Astyanax mexicanus: one gene and its partner. Each later gene encodes a partner of the first gene's protein in a complex. Links are inferred from orthologs where the notes say so. Each region holds a gene or a part of one and is shown in the gene's direction. Other genes may lie near its edges.

Region 1 (10,300 bases):
GCTTTACACGCGAGGTCAGTTACAAGAGCAATAATTCGCAACAATAACAATATAGCCAAATTTAACCCAAATAAAATATTATTTTAAATATTAGATGATAACTAATCAGTTTTTTGTCATATGTGTATTTGTCATATGTATGTAATTCAGACAATTCAGACAATTCAGTCATGCACGCATGATATTTTCTAACCACAGTGAATGTAATGTGGAGTAACATGTTTAGGTTGTAAAGTCACTTTGGATTGGTTGGATTTAACTAATAAACACAAGTACAGAAAAATGTATTTGATTGTTTTAAGTCACTATAGGGTGGGCTTTGATTCATTTTAGCAAATGTGTCCATTCCCCCCCCCCCCCCAGCGGAGAGAGTGCGCATTTGTAGCGCAGAAAAACGGGCCAAAGAGTCTAAAAGCAGAGAGGGTGCGCATTTCTAGCGCAGAAAAAACGGGGCAAAAGAGTCTAAAAGCGGAGAGAGTGCGCATTTCTAGCACAGAAAAACAGACCAAAGAGTCTAAAAGTTGCCGTAATTAAGGAGTTTAATATTAAGAGACATCATGAAATGAAACATCAATTTGAAAAATCTTAGTTTACACAACACTGTCAAAGATAAAGATAGTAAGTCAAGTAAAATGGTGTGTAAATGAAATAATCAGGAAAATGTATTATTTAAAGTGGTATATTTCATTATTTGTTTTATTACAGAGTGTGGCCCGTAACTTCAAATATATTTCTCCTTCTGGCCCCCAACAAAAAAGTTTGGACACCCCTGCCTTAATACATACTAAACGTACAATTTTTATTATATTGTACATATACAACTTTGCATATTGATTGATGCACATATTGTGTTGACCTTAATGCTACTGGAAAAAAATACACTAAAGTGCGCTTTAAATTTTAATTTTAATTTAATGCCACTACATATATATTTTCTGTCAACACAACATTGAATTTAAAGCATTTTGCCTAAAAATACATTTAATGGAAATATAAAGAAAGTATATTTAATGCGTATTTTCATTGAGTATATTAAAGTTATTCAAGTATATTAAAATTCCTTTCACCACCATACTTACAACTGCAATGAAACATCTATTTTCTAGATAGACCCCGACACAGCCCAGCATGGAGACCCCCACGATCACCAGGCCGATGACAAACAGCCCTCCAGCCACCACCTCGATTTCATCCTCTGTGAGATTAGTGACCACACACAAACATGATGATGTGAACCAGCATGCAGTTGTTCATACCAACACAGCCTTACTCACACACAAAGTGACTTTTCCAAACCCGGCCAATAGCGATCAGCTTACACTCCCTCAGGCTCTCATTCACTCACTTATTCTTGAGCATGAGAAAACCCAGTACTAACACTACCACATTCCAGCCTCCTTATTACCAAACAGGACTAAATAAACAAGGCTTACCCGTGCTTAAAACAGTTATGAAGTTGTTTTTGTCAAATATGATCCATATAGAACATCCAAAAAGGCTGAGGCCGAGAATCTGTAAAGAGTGTTGACGTCTGTTAGGTGTGCAGAAGGTAGGTAAAATGTACTGTATTTATGGCACTTAGATGTAGTGTAATGAGCTGGAAGAACCATAAAAGTTATATCAGCTTAATATCTGCTTTATTATTTATATTCTTACAGAAACATATTGAATCATTTCATTTCATAAAACATTGTTCTATATTTCTTTATTTTTATTATCTATTTATTTAAGCCATAAATCATTTTAAGCAAGATTACAGCAACGTTAATCTACAGCAATCTCATGTTAGATTTACCACTTTTCTTTGAATTTCTTTGATTTTACCAAATTGAAAACCTCTGGAATATAATCAAGAGGAAGATAGATGATCACAAGCCATCAGGAGTGGCATAACATTTTCAAAAAGCAGTGTGTAAGACTGGTGGAGGGAATATGAACTTGCTTTCTTTACATTAATTGAGGTCTAAAAGCTCTGCATCTTTTTTTTATTTCATCCATTTCTCATTTTCTGCAAATAAATGCTCTAAATGACAATATTTTCATTTGAAAAAAAGCTAATAGAAACACACAGAGTTTCACATATATCTCACTTTAAATCTTAATACAAATGCATTTCACATACAGTATCACAATATACTGTATTTTGAGCATATTATTAAATCTAAATTAAATAGAAAAGGCTAATAGAAACAAATTGAGTTCAAATCCCAGCACAAATGTATCTCGCATACAGTATGAGAGTATACTGTATTTTAAGAATCATTTTAACATAAACTAAATAGAAAAAGCTAATAGAAACACAATGAGATAAAGTATATCTCACTATAAATTTCACTATATTTCATTATGTCACTAAATTTATCTCACATACTGCATTTTAATGCATTTTAAATGTCATCTAATAAATATAAATTAATAAATCACACTGGATTCTGAGTGAAAATAAATAAATACAAAATAAATTATATATTCTCTCTTACCACAAACAGGGAATTGACCAGCATTAACAGGAATATCAGTATCTGAAGTTTATCCTCTGCCTTCATGTTGTTAGAGACCAACGACTGGTAACCAAGATCAAACCCAGGCAGTGAAAGTGAGAAACAATGTCTATTTAAATTATTATTCCTTATATTTAAAAGATTATAACGTATTGATTTGTTTACCTGGCTGATTTAGCCCTGGAGTCTGTCCAAGTGAAACTGATTTTTTGAGGGAAAAGTTTATGTTTTCTTAGCTTTCATTCTCCTTATCACGTCTTCACCGGTTTCTGTGGCTTAGTTTACCAGAAGCCCTCCACTACAGCTGAAGACTGAAGTTCACTTCCTGATAACAAAACCAATCATTAACCTCTTACCATCACTCACACTGTGTATGTACCTGTAAGCACAGATTTTAATGACTGTGACCTCAAAATTACATTTCTTATCATTCTTTTTCATAATGAATCATCACTTAATCTTTCTTACACATATTTCTTTTTATTATTTGTCTATTTATTTAAGTAATAAATCGCTTTAAGCAACATTACAGTTATGTTAATGTAAAGGAATCTTATGTTAGATTTCAACAGTACATATATAATTTACTACACAATCATGCACAGTATTACAGTCTTATGCAAAAGGTTTACTACTTCTTGTCAAGTGACCCATTTTGTGGCTTTTCCAAGTGAATAGATCCTCTACAAAGGCAGGAAACTAGAATATAAATAAGGAAAATGTTGGGAAATTAAATGTAACATGTTGGAAAAAATAAAACAAAATAAAATTGTATTTTCCTTAACTATAATATTAAATTAAGTAGATACAGTACTCAAGTTTTAAAATGTAAGAATATGATATGGCACTATGGAGATCATTTTTGTTGCTTTTCAAAAAAAAAACAACAGTTTTTATTATGATATTATGACGAATAAAACAGTATAAACTGCTATCCAAATGCTATTGTTGGGTAATTTACTACAGCACGACTTAAAACTGAAATCAAACATGGATGTAAGAACTTCCAGTCCTAATTAATTATTTTCAAAATCTAAAAGTGTGAAACGACAACCTTGAGTCAACTGTTTCACCATTGTATATGATACATAGCTCTGGGAAAAAAATAAGAGACCACTTAAAAATGGTGAGTTTCTTTGATTTTACCCAATTGAAACCCTAAATAAAATCAAGAGGAAGATGGATGATCACAAACCATCAAATCAAACTGAACTGCTTGAATTTTCACACCAGGAGTATAAAGCATAAAGTTATCCAAAAGCTAGAGGTGGGCGGATCGATCCAAATATCGATAATATCGATACCAACGCTGGTATTGGTATTGAGCAATACTCGTGTAAAAATATCGATATTCAAGCTTTTTTCTCTGCCGCACGCACTGACTGCTTCGCACAAGATTCACCACAGTCTACTCTCTGGTCTCTTGTTGCTGCACATGCGTCACATGGCTCAGCAAAGCCAGCAGGTAGGCTCAGCCTGGCCCCGCCCACTCAGCGCTCTCCTCGAGTCGACACGCCTCTACCTCAGGAGATTAGTGTTGAGTGATATTTTTTTACACTCTGTTTATTTAAGAAAAACTTGCATTTGAATTGCACTGAAAGGAAGACAATTCCTTAGTTTTTATTGTTTTTCCAAATGACAATTCTATTAAAAAAAGAAACAAAGAAACAAAGAACTAGAAAAGATGTCTAGTGAGGGGAGAATTTTTTTATATTTAAACTTTGTTTTGTTACTGTTCCATTGTTTCTAAAAAAAATGTTGATTGTGATACTAAAGTATTTTGTTATCACTTACAATGTTTGGTGAAATTATATCCTAGGTTTTTGGATCATTTGGATCTATAAAGCTTAAATATTAAAAAGTATCGGTATCAGTATCGATATCGGCAATACTGGCCCTGCGTTTACTTGGTATCGGATCGATACCAAAATTCCCGGTATCGCCCACCTCTACCAAAAGCAGTGTGTAAGACTGGTGGAGGAGAACATGATGCCAAGATTCATGAAAACTGTGATCAAAACCAGGGTTATTCCATAAAATATTGATTTGAACCTTTAAAACTTTATAATTATGAACTTGTTTTCTTTGCATTTTTTGAGGTCTGAAAGCTCTGCATTTTTATTCTCATTTTCTGCAAATAAATACTCTAAATCCATAGTTTATAGAATAAAACAACGATGTACCTATAAATAGCAAAATCAGAGAAAGTGATTAAAAAAAAAAAGAACAACCTTCAAGGTCTGGTGTTACTGTGGCATGTAAAAAATAGCTTATTTCAATTATTTTATTCAATATTTATTTCTGCCTACCCACCATTTCCAGCATCTGCTGCACTACACACCTTCAAACTACTTCATATCTGCATTATTCTGATGTACCCACACATGTTGTATATACTGTGTGATGGGTCTGACTCATTGTTGCTGTTTTACTGCTGAGGACAACAATGACTGTATCAACACACCTGGGCATAACTTATTTTATATAGTGTTAAGGTGACCTTATACAGTCTGGGTTCTTTTCAAAGATTTCCTTCTTTCCTCCAGCTTTGAATGAGTTTATCCTGCCATTTGGCCTGGGGTTATGTATTTATGGTTTTCTGCTTTATTTATTTATTTTTTTTCTTATTTCTGTAAATTGTGACACAAAGTTGTACAAGGCACTTTACAAATGATGTGACTTCTGTAGTTAAGTTCCTTATATAATGAGAAAGCACATTGTGTAAGAGGTCGGAATGGTATAATATTGTTTGGAATACCATGCTATAAAATTTGAGGGTTATCATATTTTTGGAAAAAAAATACAGAGTTCAAAATCCAAGCAGAATTTTTTTATACATTTTACGTTTCTTAACATTCCTTCTATTAATTAATCACTTCAACCTTTATTTAAAGCAAAGCTTTTGTTCGACCCAAGAATGTGATGAAACTGGCCCTCATCAGGAACATCCAAGGAAAGGCAAAGCAAGAGTTACCTCTGTTGCACAGTATAAGTTCGTCAGAGTTACAAGCCTCCAGAGTTGCCAGGTTTGTGGTTTTCCAGCCAAATTGGGCTTGTTTAAAAAAACAGTAGCGGGATGAATATTACGATAAATAAGATAAATAGCAATACTGATAATAAATCACTTATAAACAAAATACTAAGTCGTACACTCATTTATTTTGGGCTATAGTTTAGGCTTCTGATTCATTATGTGTTCCTTCATAGTCTAGATGACTTCAGGATTATTTTACTATGTACTAAAAAATAAAAACATTAAACAAGAAGGTAAGTCCAAAGTTTTTTTTTGAGAGGATGAACCCACTACTGAATTTTCTGGGGGTTTACAGCCCTCCATTTATGTTTTTTTTTATATATATATATAGAGGTCAAGAGATCAAATGCACATGCTCTGCATGTTAGTGAGGAAAAGAAATACAATCTTCTGGACTGTAATTACATTTTACACGGTAGTAATTAATTACGGTAAGTAATTCCTTCATATGCTGAATTGATAAAGGTAGAAAGCCCATAGTCCGCAGGCTCAGAGCGCCCCCTACTGTTTACTGCGCTCAGCTCACAGCCGCCGCTCTGTTATCCTTTACTACAGTCTCTTCAGTGATCTTAATCAGCGGCTGCAGACGCGCATGCGCTGTGTATGAAGAAGCAGGAGCTGTGCTGAACTGGAATAAAGCCTGTGGAAATGTCTACCGCTCTGGAGAGTTACATCAACCGTATCCTTTACTGTTCAGACGCGTTACTGTTCTTTATTAGCACAGGAATGCGACGCTAGCTTAGAGGAGCTAGTTTGGCGCAGTCCGCCTCAGCACATCATCTTTATTAGCAAAGCTAAGCTAGCTCTGCTAGCTAGCCTCCTGAACCGCTTGCAGCGCTGTTCAGCACTGGGTTTCGCTAGCTATCCTGCTAATGTTAGTTAGCCTGCTAATCTTAGCTAGCACGCTAATGTTAGGTAGCCGGCGCCTGTTTATAACAAGTATTTGAGACGTACGAGGTTCGCTAGCTATCTAAATATGTGTGTTATATATCAAATATTGCTAATTCTGCATTTTTGTGGCTTCATTCACTTCAATATGTAACGTAGGTTAGCTTAACTTAGCCACGATAGTCCCAGATTATTAGCAGGCTAGTTAGCTAGGCAGTCGAAATAGCAGTTGCGTTATGTGAACGATAGATGGATGATAGATGGGAAAAGAAGTTTAGAGAGACAGATGGGAAGAAAAGGAAAAATAATAATAGAGAGAAAGAAAGAAGGTTGGAGAAAGAGGGAGAGACAGATAGATATATAGATAGATAGATAGATAGATAGATAGATAGATAGATAGATAGTAAAAGGGGAAAAAGGTTAGAGAGAAGCAGTGAAGAAAGAGAAATTTGAAGAAAGACAGTCAGTGAATAGGAGATGAAGTAAAAAAAATGAAAGAATAATAGAGAGAGGGAAAGAGAGAAAGATGGGAAGAATAGAGAAAGAGAGAGTGTCAGTGAAAAAGGGAGATGAGGTAGAAAATGAAAAAACAAATAGGGAAAGAAGTATGGGAAGAATGGAGAAAGGTGTTTGGAGAAAAAAAGAGAGTGAAAGGGAGATGAGGTAGTCAAGGAAAAAATATAGAGAGAGGGAGAGAAAGATGGGAAGAAAAGAGAAAGAAATTTGGAGAAAGAAGAGATTCAGTGAAATTGGCAGATGAGGTAGACAAGAAAACATAAAGAGGGAAAGAAAGAAGTATGGGAAGAATGGAGAAAGAGAAAAAAGCGAGTCAGTGAAAGATGGAGGTGTGGTAGAAAAGGAAAAAAAATAATAGGGAAAGAAAGATATAGAGGAAGAATGGAGAAAGGAGTTTGGAGAAAAAAAGAGTGAAAGAGGGAGATGAGGTAGACAAGGAAAAAATATAGAGAGGGGGAAAGAAAGATGGGAAGAAAGAAGAAAGAAATTTGGAGAAAGAAGAGAGTAAGAGAGTCAGTGAACACCATGTTCTAATGTTTGTGGACACCCTTAACACCCTTACTAATGAATGCATTAAGTTATTTTTAGTTGCACCCATTGCTGACTCATGTCCTAGGGACATCATAGGTTACCTAATGACAGCCATGGGCTAGAGGGGTATAGCATTGGTGATGTGATCATTCAACTTTCTGACCTCAATATCCTTATATTTGCCAGCTGTTATTTTTTTCTGGGTCTTTTGTTCACAGTTTGCAACTTGCTTAAACTTTCTATTTTGTCATAAATATGAATTTGTTAACTGACATCTGTTAAACATCCTTAACTCGTCTTTAAAGGAACTGTGGCCATCATTACATCAGATGGACGAATGATTGTGGTTAGTATCTTTTGACTTTCTTAAGCATGTGTAATATTACTGTACATCAACAAACTAAATAATTACGCGCATGCAGGCATTTATTGTCAAAATCAGTTTCTTCTCATCTCTGTGTAACTTTAATCTCTTTATTCCCTTTAAAATGTGTCACCTGCAGCAGCTTGCACAATTTTCATATAAACAACTGTGTACAACTGTACTATTTTTTTTACACACAAATATATGTTGTCTATTTAAAGAATGATTGATAGTCTCAGACTGAAGTCGTGCAAATCCAGTTTGTTTATCTTTAATGTGACACAGATTAATCTATTTAAAGCTGTGTGGATTCAAGATGTTTTTTAATTTAGATTTCTTCACTTCTTCCCCTTCAGAACTGCCAATAATAACTTATATTTATATACTGATGTACAATATACAGAATTGTTTATGTGCATATATAATATACTTTGAAAAAAATATATGTTTATTCTAATTCTGATATAATTCTCATATCATTGCTCACTCATATTGCTTATTATTTATTAGAAATGTGTCTCTCCTTGACACTAAGAGTTGTTCAAAGTGAATTACGTCATTATGAAGGCTTGTGCTGCTTGTTAGTTATTTGTTGATGTTAATGACTCACAAATTATTACCTCATTTTTGTTGACCTGGAAGTGCACATGCTGGTTGCTTGAAAGTGCTAATTATAGGGACAAAGTCACCTACCCACACAAACATGACCTGTAAAGATCAGGTCTGAGGAAAATCCCAAAACTGAGCCATAAGGCTTGTGACGTAAAGCTGATGTACAGCTTTAAAGAGTTTGCAGATTGCAAGGGTGTGTGGTAGAGGGGTGTGTTAGTAATTTGTCAGTACATCTCTCTTGGACAATGTCAGACTTATTATTCTCCTCTCCTTTTCAGGGAACACTGAAGGGCTTCGACCAGACGATCAACCTAATTCTAGATGAAAGCCATGAGCGTGTATTCAGCTCGTCCCAGGGAGTGGAGCAGGTCGTGCTGGGACTGTACATTGTTAGAGGAGATAATGTGTAAGTCATTTATAATGAAAGAACTCTGCCCCGTGTTTACATAGCTCTAACCCTAAATCTGCAGGTATTATTCTACACCAAAAGGGTAAACAGAGATTTCCAGTAAATCTGTTTATAAAATGGTGATTAGGAAGAGCTATAGCTCAAAGAACATTGGTGTCAGTCATTTTTCTAAAGCTGTAATAAAGGCAGGAGAATAGAGGCTAATAGAGGGTGGGGATGTTTAGACAAAATGAACTAAAGCAGTTGCCGCCGCATTGCTTTGTTCTTCATTTATATCTTCAAAGGTTTGTAGACAACAGTTCATCTAATATCTCCTCTAAAATCACGGGTATAAAAAGGAAAAGGAGGGTGTTCCTTCTTTAATTATCATTACTTTTTCTGAGGTTTTAGACTAGACCACTGGTTCTCAAGCCAATTTCCACAGGCTTTACAGTTTCCACTAATTCCAACACACCTGATACAACTAATGAACTAATTGATGAGCCACTGCTGAAACAAACTGGATGTTTTCAGTAGGAAAACACAAAATAAGAAAAGAAACAAGACCATGGAAATGTCAGCATGGTGCAACTTCCTTCTGTAAATGCAATGTTAATTAGGGCTTTATTGAGCATCAATTTCTTCTCATCTCCCTGTAACCTTAATCCATTGTTGTGGAAAAGGGACAAAATATTTAGTCTAATGGTACCAGTCTGGAACGACCATCACTGCTAAGCCTAATGTATTCATTCTAAAAAATGTCATGCATCTTTATATACTTACTAAATGTAAGCAGCTGATGGAGCAATTGAGACTTCAGAAGGGGAAACTCAGAGCTCAGTAGCTCAGTCACTCGTAGTAAAACCAACAGAAATGGAGGAGTGAAGTTTCTGACTGAGCGCGCTCTCTCTCTCTCGCTCTGACTGAACATAACCTGGAATCGGATTCATTCGTTCTGAAAGAAGACCTCATCACACCCGCCCAGTTTCAAATGATTCTTCCGCATGCTCAGTGCAATTACCTATTCTCACCAGAGAGGGCCCTAAATCCCAAAACTTACGGATACCAGCTTTTAAAAATGTCTCCTTTAGCAGCTTGCACTATTCTCATATGAACATCTGTGTATAACTGTATACAACCTCTTTACAGATAAACATATGTTTTCTGTTTTACAAAATATTTATATACAGTCTTTGATTGGATACATGCCAAACATTCCCCTGAAGTGCCCTTCAGAACTGCTGTAAGGATTTGATTGTGTTCAACCCTAAGAGCTTGCATGAGGCCAAATGTTGTATAGATGTTAAATAACTGATTGTAGATCTCAAACACCACTCCAGCTCATCTTAGAGCTATTCACGTGAGTCCAGATATTCCAGAGAACTTAGTAGTGTACCTTAAAGCTATATTCACTATCTGCTTATTTTAATGCCATTGATTTCTCCTGTTGGTTGACTTTTCCTTCA
Region 2 (9,846 bases), on another chromosome or scaffold:
AAAAAGAAAGAAGAGAAAGGAAATAGAAGAAGAAAATATATGGATAATTTTATGTTAGTTACCAGCTTGGCAGTCAATGCTAGTAATCTAAACTAGAATAGTTAGTGCAACTTGTGTTGAACAGGCTTGTCATATTCGGGCAGAACTCAAACAAGCACAGATGTAAAATTAAAGCTTTAATAACAAAAGGAGTAATACAGAGAGTAGTTAGAAAAAACAGGGTCAGCACCAGTGAACAGTTTTTTAGCTTGCCATGGTGGGACATGGCAAAAGTCAAGGGACTTTGTCACATGACTCTTGGCACAACAGGGTATTCAGGTCCTTTAAGTCAATGACGTCAGGCCGATGTAAGACAGAATAACGTGGCTCAGCTTCTCACATATCTACGCGATCCCTTTTCAAATAGAAATAAGGCCTGGATACAAATTCGCATCAGACACATATTTGACACAGGGCTAGAGGCCACAGCCAGAGACTTGGAATCGCATTCTGGCTGCAGTCCATAACCGCGCGAGCTATCTTCGCTCGGTTATAGGCTAGGCCTTGCTGGATCTGGGTGTTAGTTGAGGCGAGCGAGGCTGCGCTGTTCATTTTTTTGATCAAGGCGACGCCCCCCCCCCCCCCCCCCGCCTCCATCCACCATCATTTCTAAGCTATTACCTCCATCCAGTGCGGGGATTAGGGAGAGGGCGGATGGGGGGAGGGTGGGGGCGGGAGAGAAAGGAGAGAAAGTACACGCCGGCAGCCAATCTGGTTTTCATTTGAAAACTCCCTCGAGGTTTTTCCATTATACCCCCCCTCCCTCCATATCCAGGCTGACCCCGGAGAGAAAGCCCTCGCCCGCGAAGGTCAGCTCAGTCTAGACTCTCCCCGCCATCCGTCCATCTCTCCATGCCTGCCTCCCTTCCGTCTTCTTCTTCTTCCCAGCGAATGTGCCTGCGGCAGGCAAGGGTTACCCCCGCCCCCTGTTTTCTTTTTTTTTGTGTTTTTTTTTTCCCCCGCTCCTCAGCAGCTCCTACACTCTCTACGCTCCTCCTCTCTAACCCTGCCATAGCTCCCACTGTAATCTTTTCATTTCGCCTCCCCTCCCTCTCAGGTCTTCAGGGGCTTGGAAAGGTGAAGCAGGTTGTACCAGCAAATCAACTGTGCCACTGTCCATCTGAGCACCCCCCGGTATCTCCGAGCCAGGCCCCGAAAAACAGTCCCATCTGCCCTCTCCGGGCGGCTATTACTGTTGAGTTACAGCTTTCGCATCGGTCAAGGCTCAGGGCACTCGTCCAAGGGTCGCCCGCTCGCAGCGCGCTCGAACGGTCTGCGCCGCCTTTTGTCTTTCGCAAATCAGTTTTGTATTTGCATGAGGCCCACCCACACCCGGCGGCGCGAGAAAGCCGCAGAGCCACCAATCGCTTTATTCATTTCATCATGAAAGAGAAAACGTGGTGCCGCAGAGCAGCGCCGATCCAGAAGGACAGGTCAATAAGGTTAAAACGTCTTCTTCTCCTGCGCACAGAGGCTGCGGGAAACATTCTCATCGCCTCTCCAGGCAACTGGCACAATGGCGTAGAGGAAAAAGCTCGTGAAACCCAAGTTGTGTCTCCACGGCTCCATTGTGTTTTCATTCAGTATCACTTAACAAGCCTGGCTCTTGGCTCCTGTCCAGTAAAGTCAAGAATGAGCTGCAGTACACCAGGAAGGTCAATATCGTGTATGTGTACGAGTGTGTACGAGTGTGTACAAGCGTGTATGTGTGTGTGGGCACTCTTTGTGTGTGTGTGCATGTATGTATGTGTGTGTGTGTGTATGTGTGTGTGTGTATTTGTATCGCTCAGCTCACAACCTCACAACATCATGACAGTAGCTCGTACTACCCCTCCATTATTATCAATCCTGCTGTTTTTCTCCTGCTGGACCTTCAGAAAGCAGCCGGTATATAACACACAACAATCGCTTTGATTAAGGGCAGGCGTTAAAGCCTCCGAATGGCTTCCCTTCCTCCAAGCCCCTTCCGGACACGGACCGAGGGAAGCGACGAGGGGAAGAAAGAAAGAGAGAGGAAAAAAAAAAAACGTTCATTGAATATTCATTAACCTGTGCCTAGGTGTGTACGCGGTTCTTAACCACACTTGTTTATGACTTAAGGACTTGTAGCGCTGACCTTAGTTTAACACGGCGCCAGATACCAAATTAACCTCTAGCCTCCGCAGGGCTCGCCATGCCCCGCTAACAAGCAAACTGTCTGGATGCGCCAGACGTGCTTTATGATTCTGCCTCTCAGGTTCCTGCCTCGCTCTGCCTGAAAGCAGCAGCGCACACTGCTCTCCAGCCCTGCTCTCTCTCCTCACTGTTTATCCTCCACCTACATCCATCCTCCCTTCCACGGCTCCTCTTAACTCAGCCTTCACTCCGACAAGTTCTTAGGACAGAGCGGTAGAAGAAAAAGAGATGATAATACCATAATACCATAATAATCAATGCAAGTGTGAGCTTGACCAACAATGCTTAAGGGGCTGCTGAATAACATTGGATAAAACATTGCAAAAAAAAAATGAATTGGAAAATATAGTTAAATAAGAGTTGTATATGTTTAAATTAAGCAAAGAAACAGCCAAAGTGGTAAACAAATTTTTCTTAGTAAGAGTTCCTAAAATAAGCACTCACAAAATGTCAGTTTTGGCTTATTTTCAGTTTAAATTCTAAGTAAGACTGATTATGATCATAAGTCCTAAAATAAGCCAAAGAATCTTACACGACTTACAAGAGAAAGACAAGTATGGTTGGTGTGGCGCAGTGGATAACACCACTATCTGCCTGGGTGACTGAATGCTGTGCTACACCAATAAGAGTCCCTGGGCTAGACTCCTAACACTACATTGGCCCACCTCTGTAATAGGAACAAGCTTGTAAGTCGCTCTGGATAAGAGCATCAGCTAAATGCCATAATTGTAAATATCATAGACTGTATATAGCTGGACAGAGCATCGTCTCTTAAAAGTGAAGCCACCACAGGTCGGGCGCCCCCTGCTGTTCGGCTGCAGAAAGCTGTGTAACCCCACCCATCCCCATAGGTTTCAATGGCAAAGCAGACAACTTTCAATCACGTTTTTTTTCTAATATACTCTAATTCTACCTCCATTATTTAAATGCAGCAGCTAGTGTAGCCTCTGCTTATATTGTCAATTTTTTATATCCCCACAGAATTCGGTTTTTGAAACTTTATTCGGCTCTATTCAAAAAAGGTGTGGTTATGGTAAAAGGGCTGGTTATGGGCGGGACCAATAACAGACCGTCAGCTCCGCTCCGCCCCGCTCTGCAGTCTGTGACCGCGAGGCAGCCCTCAGGGGCGGGGTTATTTAAATGAGTAGGAGCTCTCAACAGCCTTTCTCCCTACTCTGGTCTCTACTGCGCAGACTCTGGTCTCTGAATCGCCAAAACGGCGGAAGATTCTGGCTTCATTTTTATTTTTTTGCAGTGTACTGATCACCATTACATTTGTACAGTCCTAACTTGTAACAGTTTCTTTTGTAAACTCTAAGCACAAGCAGTTCAATATAGTATTGACAAAAAGGTTGAACTGTTGAAAGCAATATTATGTAGCAATTTTACCCTTAAAGAGTAGCTTCAGAACCATACTGATGCTCTGAAACTGAAAATGAGAAGATTGCATCTCTGGATGGAATGATGATACTGCACTGTGTAGTATGTTATGTATGTTAACTTTGATAGGCATTGGTTAGTGTTCAAATTCTGTAATTAAATCAACATTAATTTAAAGGTTTTAAAAGGTTGATCTCTTATACTCTATTAATAATAAGATTATTAATAATTATTATTTAAATGTCCTTTTCTACACTGCAAGACCACATTATATAGACTATACTAATAGAACACAAACAAGATATGCATATATAATGTAAGTAAAATGTAATACAAACCATTATTATAAAACAATAATACTAAATTAATGTTGAATCAACATGCACAAATAAATTCATTTTGATATCAGAGATCAATACAGTTATATTGAATAAATAAATAATATTGATTTAATGTCAATATTTTGCTGTCTGGTATTTGCAATTTCTTACTTGGTTCAAATCAACTGCAGCATAAATCTTTATTTTTACATGGAAATATGTAAAAAAGTTAAATGTAAAAACTATTAAATATGAAGTCTAGATTGAAAACTTACTTGTTTATTTAGCTTTTGGTAATTAATGTTTCTCCTTTTAGATAAGGCTGCAGATTCAGGGGTTCATGGACAGAGGGAATTGTGGGTAAACTGAGATGCTGGTGCTGTTGTTCTCCCACTGCACACGGTCACTCAGGTTTGTGGACGGTGGAGTGGGTGGATGCTGATGTTTCAGGGAGGCTCCGTGTCTATGTTACCTTCTGGCTCTCTCCCTTTAGTTAGTTTATTCAGATCTGAGTTTTATGTTTTATATTTTCTGTTTTACATAAATCCAGTAAAACTAATTCCATCTCTCTGCCTTCCTCCGAGTTACTGACTGCCCACCTGTCTGACCCAATACCGATGGATGTTGGACCCTCGGGCTCTCATGTCCCCTGTCCGGCCAGACTGATGGAAATTTCTGAAGTCAGCTCTTCTCCATCACCCACCACAGATCAGCTGCTCATCATCAATCTTACTCTCCACTACAGATTACATCCTTACATATACTCCAGAATATATAAAACCTATGTGGATGTATAAAGACTTTTTATATTTTAATTTAAAAGCCGTTTGACCAGTGGTAGGATGGTCACCCCTTAAATGTGAGTCTTGGTCCTCCCAAGGTTTCTTCCTCCTCCTGCAGCTCTGAGGGAGTTTTTCCTTGCCTCCGCGCTCACTGGGGGTCCTGTGTTCTGTATTTTCTATGTTTAATGTTTTGCCTGATTCTTTGTCCTTTGATCACATTTCTGTAAAGCTGCTTTGTGCCAACACCAGCGCTATACAAATAAATTTGATTTGATTTGATATGAACATGAACAATTCATGGTGGGAGGTTGTTTGTAACTATCACTAATGTGAAACTCACAATTATCAAGGGACTGCAGTTCATCTTGTTCAATATTCAGTAGTATTTTGTATTATTTTAATTAATTAATTGATTTTATTATTTTTTACTGAATCAGATTTTTTTAAAATATAACAATATTACGACTTATTATAACTGTATTATAATTGTATAATATTACAATTTTGATGTCCTGCAAATCAAATACTTGTATCTCCAGTTTTGCATTTTTAATTAATTTATTGTTTATTTTTTCTTTTTTTTTTTTTTACATATTTTTCATCTGTAAAAAGTGAAACATTACATATTTTTATTTTAATAATATAATATAATATAATATAATATAATATAATATAATATAATATAATATAATATAATATAATATAATATAATATAATATAATATAATATAATATAATATAATATAATATAATATAATATAATATAATATAATATAATATAATATAATATAATATAATATAATATAATATAAAAGCCCTTTGTCGTGAAGGCGAACTGTCCCTCAGCGGCACCCGTAGTTCTGTACTAAGCTCGGCTGCTGATTGGTGGAGCGCCATCAACACCGGGACGTGCAGAGAACGTTGTTGAAGCAGCAGCTAAGCTAACCTGCGCTAAAATAAGGTGAGTATAATCCGGCGGGTTATGGATTCAGTGCGGGATATAAACCCGCAGTTTATAAGAATAAATCGCTGTAGTTACAGTAATAGTGCGGGTTTATAGCGGAGGTTTGTTTATTATGCGGGTTTGGAGGCAGTTAGATGTGTAGCTAGGCTAGGCTAACGTGGCTAACTGCTAGATAATACTGTAGAATTCACTGGTTTAACTAAACTAGATAATCTAGCCTAACTGCACAAATTGAACCTTTTACTGTAGATATGTGAGATTTACGTGGTTTTAGCAGACAGAACTGCCCGAGTTTTTTTTACAGTATTTATACAGTATTTTGTTATACAGTTTTAGCTAAACACAGTAACGTTACTATACTAGTGAATCTCAAAAAACAATTTTACTTTATTTCAGTAAGTTAATTCAGTTCAGAATGAGAAACTCATATATTATATAAGTGTTACTGTTGTTGATTATGACTTACAGCCAATGAAAACCCAAAAATCAATATCTCAGAAAATTAGAATATTATATAAGACTTATTTTTGGCAGTGTGGGCAGTGTGCCAAGTCCTGCTGGAAAATGAAATCTGCATCTCCATAAATGTTGTCAGCAAAGGCAAGCATGAATGGCTGTAAGATTTTCCGAGAAACACCAGCAGATGACATGATGTCTCTCCAAATCATCACTGATTGGTGGAAACTTCACACTAGACCTCAAGCAGCATGCACTGTGTGTCTCTCCACTCTTCCTCCAGACTTCCTTGATTTTCCTAATAAAATGTAAACTTTACTGATGGTCATCTGCTGGTGTTTGTCCACTGTGATATATCAAGTCCAAAATCAGTAAATGAACCAACAATCAAGCTGATTTTAAGTACATTAATAATCGTCAAATATTGATGGTGTACTCAGTATGCTTATTAAAGCATCTTGTTTATTCAATAAGAAAGTGTCAAGATATGATAAAATATTGATCTATTGCCCAGCTCTAATTCTACAACTAGTACTGTGTATCTCAAACTACTGTTTATATACAGTGAGGCAAATAATTATTTGATCCCTTGCTGTTTTTGTAGGTTTGCTTACTGACAAAGACATGAACAGCCTATGATTCTAATTCTATCTTTCACAGTGAAAGAAATAATAAATAATAAAAATGGTATCTGTAAAATGCATATCAATGTATATCATTTATACAATGTGATTTTTCTGGATTTTATGTTTTATATATTTTATTGTTAAAATGAACCTACACTTAAAATTGTAGATGTCTTTTGTCAGTGGGGAATCAGCAAGGAATCAAATAATTATTTATTTCACTGTAAGTTATAAGCAGATGCATGTACCTACATGCTGTATAAGTTGCATAGCTGTCTCTTTAACTTATCCTCACCACACTCTCTGTGCCAGCACTGCACTGTCCCATCTGTTAACTGTCTAACTGATATGTATATTTCATGTATATTGCTATTTCTTTCTAGTCTTATGTTCTAGGTTTATGTTTGCACATTGCACTTTATGTATTTCATTGAGAGTCCTATGTTGCTTTATTGTCATTTCACTTCACTGTATACTTGCAGTCAGGTGAAACCTCATAACAACACCTTAACAACTACTTTGGATACCACAGTAACTAGCTAGAAATATCATAGAAACCACCTGGAATAACATGGCAATCACGTGGCAACAGCCTAGCATGGATTTGATACAGTAACCACTTAATCTGTACAACCATTTTGTGTGTCTATTAGGAAATGCTCTTTAATAGTTTATAATAGTTGTTTTTTAATAAGTCTAACAGTGTAAAGATGAGCATTGTGTTCAAGCTGAAAAGAAAAAAAAAGGATTAACAAGGTACAGATACTTTTGTGTGGGTATAAAAAATGAGTTCGCATGAATTACTGCAACATCAGAAATATTAAACATGTGATTAGTGTGAGATTGAAATGCAGACTTGCAGCTCGTCAGCTCATTATTATTCATTCTTCATTTATAATTCACTCTCTTTTTTTTCTTTTTCACTCCCTGTTAGTCAAAATGAGCCTCCGGAAGCAGACCCCCAGTGACTTCCTGAAGCAGATCATTGGAAGGCCAGTGGTGGTGAAACTGAACTCTGGAGTGGATTACAGAGGTAAAAGCACCACTGCTGCTTTGAGTAGCTGAAAATGAACTCCTGCTGTAATTTGCTGTGTGCTGAAGCTGCATCTGTTATGTATTTTTCTTCCATTATATGGGCTTTCTCAAGATTTATATATTTTACACTGGTAGTCTAAATAAATTGCTGAAGTGTTGTATTTTGTTATTGGAGGGAGACAAAATCCTTATCTTGTCTTGGTGACAACCTCACATTACTTTTGTTTTTTAAACTGATCTTATTTATGTTTCCCACACATAAGAGTTAGACAATATGACTAAAAACTTGTATTTTAATATGTTTTACAGAAATGGTAATATACAATATATAATGTACTGAAACCCTTAGAGTAGTGTTACAGAAAGTGTTAAACCGTCAGTATTTATTTATAACTAAGTAGGTATTTCACTGGCTTAGTAAACTGCACTGGATTATAATGGTTGAAATAAAGTAATGATGCTTCTCCTTTAATTATGATATTTCAATACCACAATTTACACAAGACTGAACTCCACAACACCCATGTACAACCTTTAAATAAATTGCACAGCTGCTTCGAAATTATGATTTGATCATTTTTATATATATATTTTTTTACAAAACAAGCTTGAATAAAGGGAATTATTTTACTGATCCTACACTTAAGCTGTTATTACCTGTGCAGAAGCAGGAGTGTCCAGCCTTAAAGAGCCAATAAAACTTGTGAAAAAACATACTTTTTCACACTAATAGGGAGGATGATGTTTCTGTGTACTTTGGTACGAAAACACTCACAACATGCAGATCAGTCAATCAGTAATACAATACCCTCCTGCTGACATCCAACCATCTGCATCTCACTGCTATCAGAGACACACTGCTGCATCTCAGCCAATCAGCTCTCCCTTCTGCCCCACCTCTAAACCCATACATCACCCAGTGTCCCTCCCAAACTACTCTTCCCATTTTTGTTTTTAGCCTTTTTTAAATTTGAGCTGAGGGTGCTGTCAGCTAAAATCAGGAGGTTTGGTGCCTCTTTAAAACTTACCTTATGGATGTTCTGCAGGTGTCCTCGCTTGTCTTGATGGCTACATGAACATTGCTGTGGAGCAGACAGAGGAGTATGTGAATGGCCAGCTGAAGAACAAGTATGGAGATGCGTTTCTGAGGGGAAACAATGGTAGGTAGCATAAACAACAAACAAACATGTAGCTTAACTGTGCAAGGGACACCTTACACCTGTTGATTAATGTGAACAAGCAGCATGTACAGTCCAGAGGTACTGCAAGACGTATAGAACCTATTTGCCCAAGTCAGAATGCCAGGAATGAGCTAGAGGGGAATAAAGCCCCCAGCATTGAGCTGTGGAACTGTGTTCTCTGTAATGATGGTACTTAATACAATACTTTTGAACAGAGTTGCAGAGTTAGGGAGTATGTAGGGTTGGATGATACGTAGTCAGTATACTTAGGAATTGTGGTGGTGATCATTATCTGATCATCATCCTGACCATCCTAATGCTCTTATTGCTGAATGCAGTCAAATTCTCACAGACAAGATTGCTTTAAAAAGTAGTAGAAAGCCTTTTTTAGATAGACCTTGATTTAAGTAGAAACAACGAATGAGAAGGTGTCCCAATATGTTTGTTCCTATAGTATACCTATAATGGTTCGTATGGCCTTGAAAAACCTGGAAAAGTCATGGAATTTGAAAATAGCAATTTCCAGGCCTAGATCAAGTTTGGAAAAATACAAATATGAAAAGAAAATGTTGGAAAAGTCATGGAAATTTGGTCTACAAATCTTTGTGTTTTTTAGATTATTGACGAAGAAAATCTATTTTGAGCTAACAAAATACATCAGCACTAGTTAGTTAGTTCAGTAATTTAGCCCTACACAATGGAGCTCTCAGGATCTGACATACATTTTATTGTTGAAGATTGTGTTTCAACATGTTTTATCATTCATTTTAGGCCTACTATAATTAGTTTTAGTTTTAGTTGATTTTTAGTTTTATTGTCCATTTATTGATTTTTTTAAGCTGTATGGTCATGAAAAGTTGCCTTGACGGCATGAAAAAGAAATGTATTG

The links.
Region 2: lsm8 (region 1) and lsm6 share a complex: the UniProt entries of both Homo sapiens proteins name them as parts of the precatalytic spliceosome. The link is inferred for Astyanax mexicanus from reciprocal best matches to the Homo sapiens genes LSM8 and LSM6.

Annotation. Positions count from the first base shown.
Region 1 is NC_064409.1:6,667,720-6,678,019, forward strand, and holds the start of lsm8 (LSM8 homolog, U6 small nuclear RNA associated), read left to right. Parts: upstream 1-6,070; 5' UTR 6,071-6,183; coding exon 6,184-6,214; intron 6,215-7,775; coding exon 7,776-7,816; intron 7,817-8,724; coding exon 8,725-8,852; intron 8,853-10,300. Other genes in the region: si:ch73-139j3.4 (CD82 antigen), read right to left, coding at 1,080-1,195, 1,434-1,512, 2,481-2,546. UniProt on the Homo sapiens protein: Plays a role in pre-mRNA splicing as component of the U4/U6-U5 tri-snRNP complex that is involved in spliceosome assembly, and as component of the precatalytic spliceosome (spliceosome B complex).
Region 2 is NC_064414.1:49,786,025-49,795,870, forward strand, and holds the start of lsm6 (U6 snRNA-associated Sm-like protein LSm6), read left to right. Parts: upstream 1-5,537; 5' UTR 5,538-5,656; intron 5,657-7,675; 5' UTR 7,676-7,680; coding exon 7,681-7,774; intron 7,775-8,822; coding exon 8,823-8,936; intron 8,937-9,846. UniProt on the Homo sapiens protein: Plays a role in pre-mRNA splicing as component of the U4/U6-U5 tri-snRNP complex that is involved in spliceosome assembly, and as component of the precatalytic spliceosome (spliceosome B complex).